2 linked regions of the Xenopus tropicalis genome follow. Each later gene encodes a partner of the first gene's protein in a complex. Links are inferred from orthologs where the notes say so. Each region holds a gene or a part of one and is shown on either strand. Other genes may lie near its edges.

Evidence for each region.
Region 2: the proteins of npr3 (region 1) and nppc are in contact, whole or in part, in a crystal structure (PDB 1JDP), measured with the Homo sapiens proteins. The link is inferred for Xenopus tropicalis from reciprocal best matches to the Homo sapiens genes NPR3 and NPPC. Residues at the interface, in NP_001191304.1 of Homo sapiens: Asn110, Tyr138, Ala141, Pro142, Arg145, Ala161, Gly163, Phe164, His166, Glu170, Tyr171, Tyr204, Lys208, Leu209, Arg211, Tyr214, Phe215, Leu217, Glu218, His221, Glu222, Gln225, Ile233; in NP_077720.1 of Homo sapiens: Gly109, Cys110, Phe111, Gly112, Leu113, Lys114, Leu115, Asp116, Arg117, Ile118, Gly119, Ser120, Met121, Ser122, Gly123, Leu124, Gly125, Cys126.

The regions. Positions count from the first base shown.
Region 1 is NC_030677.2:200,603,048-200,606,874, forward strand, and holds part of npr3 (atrial natriuretic peptide receptor 3), read right to left. Parts: intron 909-3,827; coding exon 797-908; 3' UTR 1-796. UniProt on the Homo sapiens protein: Receptor for the natriuretic peptide hormones, binding with similar affinities atrial natriuretic peptide NPPA/ANP, brain natriuretic peptide NPPB/BNP, and C-type natriuretic peptide NPPC/CNP.
Region 2 is NC_030681.2:101,242,087-101,246,425, forward strand, and holds the start of nppc (C-type natriuretic peptide precursor), read right to left. Parts: upstream 2,964-4,339; 5' UTR 2,840-2,963; coding exon 2,747-2,839; intron 389-2,746; coding exon 125-388; 3' UTR 101-124; intron 1-100.

The sequences.
Region 1 (3,827 bases):
CAAGCTTGACCCTGAAACATACAGCCGATCTGTCATGCCGCAGGTTAAGCCGTATCAAGATTGAGCAAACCAGAAAAATTCAACAAGATGGACAGATTCATTTGCATCAATGCTTCATTGTGTTTGCTTTCAGCTCGCCAGAGTCAACATGAACTCTTCAGTGTACTTTGGCAAAAACAGGTATTTTTAACCCATCGACCTCGAGAATTCATAGCAGAAATAAGATACGTGAATGGTATATTCCGTGCAGAGGCTTTGGGTTTAATGGCCCGGCGTGCTCGTTTTAACTCTTCCGCACAACGTCTACTGTATGGGAGTGAATACAACCCGTACTGCTGCCAGTACCTGCCAAGGTTGCGCACTATCAAATCAAAATTGCGCGGTTGCATTCCAACAACCTTTCCTTCTGCAAAAATTTTCAGTGTCGAAAAAAATAATTTCAGTGTTAACTATGTGTGCCAATTTGGGTTTGTTTTTCCTATGAAGCTCTGGACAAACATGTTGAAAAGGAACATTATTTTTTTTTTAAAAAAGTGCCTATCTTTGTCCGACACACATCGCCCAATGATTTCTACGCACAGATCGTAATAACCTTGTCAAACCGTGCCCGTTTTTCACAAGATGAAAGGCCACATGGCATAATGCAATTAATCGATCATTCCTGAGTTTCTGAAAACAATATGAGAATGGAAATAAGATTCTACTGCCTTAAAAAATAGCTTCTGCAAGAACCCCATCACACGTAATGATGTCTTTGGTTGCTTCTTCCTAAAGATTTTTGTTTGTTTTCTATTCTTTATGCCGCAGAAAAATGAGATCTTATGGAATCTTCCCGAAGCTGTCGGTGTTTCCCTAGGTTGCAGTCGTCCTGCTGATTTCGTCTTTCGATAGTTATTCTGTATTTCTTTCTGCAACGGGAGGAATGTCAATGGTGAGATGGTCAAGTGTCACTTTTTGCTACTAGAGGAGATTTTTCCATATGTTTTTGTAAATAAAAACTGCATTAAATAACCCAATGATAATATCTGTGTTGAAGGAGAGTCAATTTAGCCTGGACTTCAGGTGACTGGGTTTTAAATAGGATAAGGGTTTGCACACAGAAAACACAAGCACAGTGGTAGTATTAAAAAAAAATCCTTTCTATAATATGCAGAAGATTTAACAGCAAACAATTTTAATTACAAAATTACAGAAAATAACACATAAAATGATAAGATAATACATACCACAAAATGTGCATAGGCAAAAAAGAGACACGCATGATAGCGGATACACTTGCCAAAGATGAGAATTACCCCAACGTTTCAGCAAAGAGCCTTTCTCTAGGGGAATCGAGAACGTTGGGGTGTGCAAACCCTTATCCTATTTAAAATTACTGCTTTCGGTACCCTATACAGTTTTGGGTTTTTTTGCACCAAACACCTATGTTGCTTTTTTTGTATGTGAAGTGAGTGGCCTCCATTTATTTATATTTACTTTAGGTGACTGGGTCACAGAAATAACATATGAGGCTAGAGAATGTCTTCGGTTTCATAGAAGGGTTTGAGAAGAACCCTAAATCGGAGTGAAACTCCCCCTACTAAACAGATTCTGGGTCTTCAGTCTTGTGAAATGAAAGCCCAACCTTGTAATACATATAATTACATATATATAAAATGGTCATTCTCTTACAGTTCCAAAGATATCTATGATAGCAACTAAGCATTCACCATAAAGTTTCATGCAACCTCCTTTGGTTTTGAGCCCATTAGGGGACCATTTTCATAGTTGAGAACCACTGCACCAAATATTGTTTTGGGATGGATTCGGGGTTCATCCGAACCCAAAAAGCTGGGTTTGGTGCATCCCTAACTGCCAGGCATGCTGGACAATACAGTGATAACAGTCCCAGCATTTTATATCTAATCAATCACAACAGTATATATTTAGGAAAGGAAATCACATTTTATATTTCACTGATAGGTCCTGACATAGTATACAAATAACAGCAATTGATTCAGTGAAAATAAAACCACATTTTAATGGCTCAAAAATTCATTCAAAACATAATGCAAAACAAATTCAGATATATACTATACCAAACAGTGACAAGGTGCATCCTAGTGCCTCTCCTAACGCGTTTCGCACTGAGTGCTTCATCAGAGGAGGTGTGGTGTGTTGATGTCACATCCCTTTTATACCCATCCACATCTACCCTATACATTGTACAGGGTATTGCATTGAGCATATATTATAACAATATTTTAAAATATACACATTCCAGGGTTAAACAGTGCCCTGTATTCAGCATAAATTATACAGAGTCACATAAAAACCTCGTAGACATTGCAAATTTTCAAAATTCTTCTTAATCAAAAACTTTTTAACCATTATAATGGATATTATGGCCACTGTGTTAGAACATCACACCCAACATATAAAAATACAGTGAAGTTTTAAAGTGCAAATTAGTGCAAATCGATTAAAACCAGCTAAAAACTCTTTCTTTTTGTTCATTCGCTTTATCTTATATTCAGACCCCGACCAGTTACTCATAAGTCACTTTTCAAACCCAGAAGAATTGCCTTTAAGATCATTTGGTGCTATTTAGTGCTATAGGTTGCAACCCATATTTCTCCTACACAAATTATTTCCAGGATGACACTAAAAATGGTTTTAATTCAAATTTTGTATTCATCCCTTTTGGTATTACAGTGTTTAATGTAAATATCCACTTAGATTCTAACCGCAACAGCTTAGTAACCAGGTTTCCTTCACTTCTTTCATTTATTTTATCAATGCCAAACATTTGAAACTGCATCTGCTTGCCTTCATGTGAATATTTAAAATGTTTATATAAAGGGTTATCATCATCCTTATTTTTCAGTCCTCGCAGATGTTCTCCTAACCTTGTTCTTAGCTGTCTGATAGTCCGTCCCACATATATAGAACCACATTCACATTGTAGGCAGTAGATAACATACTGTGTTTGACATGATATATAAGTATCTATACTAAATTCTTTATCATTATTTTTACTGAAAAATGTTTTTTTATTACCAGTATATTTACAGGCTTTACAACCTTTGCATGGAAAGAAACCTTTTACATTACCTAACCAACATGTCACTTTCCTATCGTTATTTCTCTTCAATTTATTTGGGGCTATAAATCCCGCTATCGATTTTGCTTTTCTACTTATAACACCTGGTCTCATATTCAGCTTTTTTAACACTGGATCCACCTGTAAAATATTCCAGTTTCTTTTAATAACTTTAGTTATTTGTTTATATTGCACCCCAAAATCTAGAATGCACCTGATCTCTTCAACTTTTGTAGTTTTGGAGGTTTCCATTTTACTTTTTTTACCTCTATTTTTGTTACTATTTGCTATTAGGTCACCTACTTTGTGTAACGCTATTTGCAGATCATTTTTATTATATCCTCTCTCTTCGAGCCTCTCACACTCTTGTCTCGCTTGTTCTTTAAATATTTTATAATTAGTGAAATTTCTATAAAGTCTCACCAACTGTGCATATGGTATTGACTTTACAGTATGCTCTGGATGGAAGGAATCCCTTCTCAAAATTGTATTGCCTGCAACTAGTTTCCTAAATAGTTTTGTATTAAGTTTTTAGCTGGTTTTAATCGATTTGCACTAATTTGCACTTTAAAACTTCACTGTATTTTTATATGTTGGGTGTGATGTTCTAACACAGTGGCCATAATATCCATTATAATGGTTAAAAAGTTTTTGATTAAGAAGAATTTTGAAAATTTGCAATGTCTACGAGGTTTTTATGTGACTCTGTATAATTTATGCTGAATACAGGGCAATTTTAAACCCT
Region 2 (4,339 bases), on another chromosome or scaffold:
TTAGTTAGTGTTGCCTTTAGCCACAGAGCGCGGAGGTGGCGGAACAATGAAATACTGGTAGCGCTACTGGCACAGGAGAAAATGGAAAATACCAACTTACCGCCACTAGATGGCACTCCAGGTCTTAGCACCCCAGGCCACTCATAGCGCCAATACGGTCCAGTTTGAGTCCAAAGCAGCCCTTAGAGAGTGCTTTCTTGTTGATCCCCTTGTACTTGCGAGTATTGGGGTGCTCGTTGAGTAACCTCGCCCAAGCTGCCCGCGACCTGGTGTCGGCTCTCAAGTCGCGCAGGAGTCTGGCACGGAATTTGGGGTCGATATTTCTATCCCCTCTCTCCCCAGAGGCCAAATATTCAGCCAGCTCGTCCCCAAGCAAAGCTCGTAACGACTGCAAAGCGAAATGGGAGACAGTAGGGAGAGGTTAGCAGAGGGCAGAATAACGGTAACGCTATGTCTGTACTGAGGGGGCAGGTGGATGCGACATTTCCCACGTACACTATTTCACTATACCTGAGCTTATATAGACCTCTGTCCGATATGGCAGTCCAATGGAGAGTGGAGGCTAATACCCTCACTAATGCCCCTGAGATTGCACTGGGGCACCGCCCGCTGGCACAAACAGAAAGCGAATGGGTCACGTCTTGCACATCTCTTGCCCTCAGACAGGGGTAAATAGAGCAATAATAATAAGCGGCAGCTATATCACCCCAGATAATTCCGCTGACTAAAGCCTGGACTCTGATCTGATTCCATTATGTCATTTTGCATTGGCAGCTCCTGCTGATTTAACCTCTTCCTTGCCAAACTACTGTGAGCGTCTACTGCACCTGTTGCACAGACATTCTGCACCCATTTATCCACCTACTGCCCGAACCTTAATGGCAGGTTCCGACACAACTATATTTATATTTGCCGTGTCTAGGAGGAGACACTTTAAGGAGAGAGTGGATTCATTTTTAAGAGGACTGTTTTATAGCCGGCAGATGTGTGGGTAACATGGAGTTACCCCAGCTTTAAATATGCCAGACACCTTTTGTACTAATTCTGGGCCACTATGAACTCCATGAAACAAAAATTGTCATTCATTCATTCACCTCCCACCCCCTTACTGTGCCAGCCATTCACCTACCCTCTATCCTTGTGTTCCATAACTCCCACCATAAGTACTTCTCCCTCACCCAAATATTCATTCACTTATCCACACACTAGTGACCCCACTTTCACCCACTTACCCTATCCGACTCTGCTAACTAATGCTTTCACGAACCAAGCAACTCACTCTGTTCTGCCATTCACCTACCTACTGGCAAGCATATTCATTCATCCACTCTTCCATGGCCTTAATAATGCCTCAAGTCATTACCCGTGTTTCACTCATTCTCCCATCACTAACCTATTCCCTCACCCATGCATTCGATAATCTCAACCATCAAGTCACTCACCCGTCACCAACTCGCAATATCTCTTTTACCTAGCGACCCACACACACTAAAGGTGGCCATACACGCACCGATATTATCGTACGAAACCTCGTTTCGTACGATAATCGGTGCGTGTATGGCATGTCAGCGAGCCGACCGATATCGCAGGAAGCTGCTGAAATCGGTCGGCTCGCCGATCGGCCAAACTCCTCCACTTTATCACCCACCCATCGGCTGACTTTCTATTCTGCTTCTCCCACCCATTCTAGCCCTGAACGGTTCTCTCATTCTGTCACTTACAAATGATTCCATTCCATCCCTCACCATTTCTCTTTTCAGTCACTAACTCTCCCATTCAGTAGCCGGTTCCCCAATTAAACAGGAGCAAGAATAGCTGTATACTTTCATGTGTGCCAGTCAATGATTCCTTCACCTGAAGAGATAGAACTACTTCATGCAGAAGCCAGATTGGAAATAGCTAATCAGTATAGATTGCACCCTTGGGGTAAGGTTACCTCAGGTCACAATAGTGATTTTTTTTATATATCATAACATAAATCAAATTACGCTGATAGGGAACAGTTACCCCAGTGATGTTGCCTGTTATCCCTAGCGTTCGCCCTTGCCTCTCCATCCATGAATGTATTAGTTAGATCGGAGCAGTAGCCATGCACCTAGGTGCCAGTACATCCCCTGGTACCCACACTGACTCCTACAGAGCTCACTCAGTGGCCCGGTAACGGCTCCACTCCTACTATGTACTCCTGCTTTCACTCCAAAACACACATTAGCAGGGCAAACAGCATGGCAACATGGATGACTTGGTTAGCAGTTTAGTTAAATGCTGCATACCCAGCTATATTATTTTAATCATTGGCACCGAATGCGCCAGAGCAGCGCAAGTCAAATTAAATGAATGCACTTCTGCATTCTTATTCATACGCATATGCACAACAGGGCAAAGCCAGCGTACTACTGCGCCCTATCCACAGGCAGTGCCAAATCTGAACAGTTTTGTACCCTGCCGCTTGTCAGGTCTCTGCGCTCTCTCCCTCTCTCTAGCCTTCCTATGTCTGGGTGCCCAGCACTGGTACTACATTTTCACCTTGCAACTGATTCATGTACACCTGCCCCTTTGCCCAGAGTAGATGGACTAGTGGAGACTGCACAGGCGGACTAGTGGCCGGTCTCTGGGTTCGCACAGCCGGACTAGCGCCCATTCCCTAGGGACTGCACAGTAGCTGGGAGACGTTTAGAGGAAGGAGGGGCAGATGCTGAAAGTGAGAAGGAGAATGCAGAAAGTTCGCTCCCAGGTGAGCACTTACCTTCTGGTGTGGCTGAACTGCAGGTTTCGCTTCCACCCTGACACACAGCACGGCCAGCATAATTCCCCAGCCCAGAATGAGAGACACATGCATCCTGACTCTGGGATTTAGCCTTTTCAGCATACAAAAATCCCCAAGTGTTACTGTAATAAAAACACAACTAGCAGAAAATCTGGAGTTGGCTGCGAGTCACCCCTCCTCCTCCTCCTGCTGCTGCTGCTGCTCCTGTAAGACTGTGAACTGATATCAACACCCCATTCATTTTATAAAGCATCTGGTGACGTCACCCTAGAGATAGGAGGTAGAGCACCCACCGCTTGGGGTTACCCTCTAACTCATTTTCTCATGATACATTGCATGTCCCAGCCAGGTCATTAGTTTACTTTCTAGGACTTTTTTTTGGATGGGTTTTAAAGGATTTTATATCAGTTAGGGATCACTCCTGTGGCTCCAAACAACTTATCCCATTACACATACAGACATATATATATATAGAGAGAGAGAGAAAGAAATATTATATAGATAGAGACATATATAGATAGATATTATATAGAGACATATATAGATAGATATATAGAGCGATATATAGATAGATATATAGAGACATATATAGATAGATATTATGTAGATAGAGACATATATAGATAGATGCTATATAGATAGAGACATATATAGATAGATAGAGAGATATATAAATAGATGATGATAGATATGCGTGCCTCTGTGTGTGTATATAGTTATCTGGCACTTTCAGGAAATATATATATCTTTGTGAGTCTTTGTGTGTGTAGTTATATATGTATGTATAGTTATCTGGTACTACCAGGTAATAGATACCTACGTTTGCCTCTGTGTGTGTGTATATATAGTTATCTGACACTTTTAGGCAATTTATAAACCTATGTGTGTCTTTCTGTGTGTATATAGTTATATATGACTGTATATGCATGTGTATACAGTTATGTGGCACTCCCACGCCATATATATGTGTGTATGTTTACAATTAACCCATATATACATAAAGTATACGTATACATATATTCATACATATATATGCACATATACACACATAAGCTAATGCTCATTTGTTTGGAACTGGACTTTCTCAGAATCATCTCTTTCAAAATACATTTCAATACCAGGTCCAACCAAGCTGTTTTGTGACTTATGGGGGAGTATGCTTCGTACTTATTCTGTAACACTTGGGCACCAGAAGGGCTGTACCTGGCTGCAGTGCTCAGTATCACATTCGCGGTGTAAATGACTAGTTTTGTGTTTGAGCGCTTTTATTTGGGGGCTGTAGAGGAGCCATGGGTTTTGCCATTGCAGCCACAGACTCCCCTCCCTGACATTGCTGCGCTCTTTGCTTGATGCCTTTGGCAGCTCTGTTTACATTCTCAGTGCCGCCACTTGTTCCAATACCTCTGGGAAAGTCAGGTAGAAAGCGGGAGATTCTTGCCTTGTACAATCCATGGCGGAGCTGATGTGCGAACTGAGAGTCAGTTCCACTCAATTTCCCGAGCGAGCTGACACATCACAGGGCAGGAGAGCCGACAGATAAAGCTGTTGTTTTTGGGTTCTTTGCCTTCACAC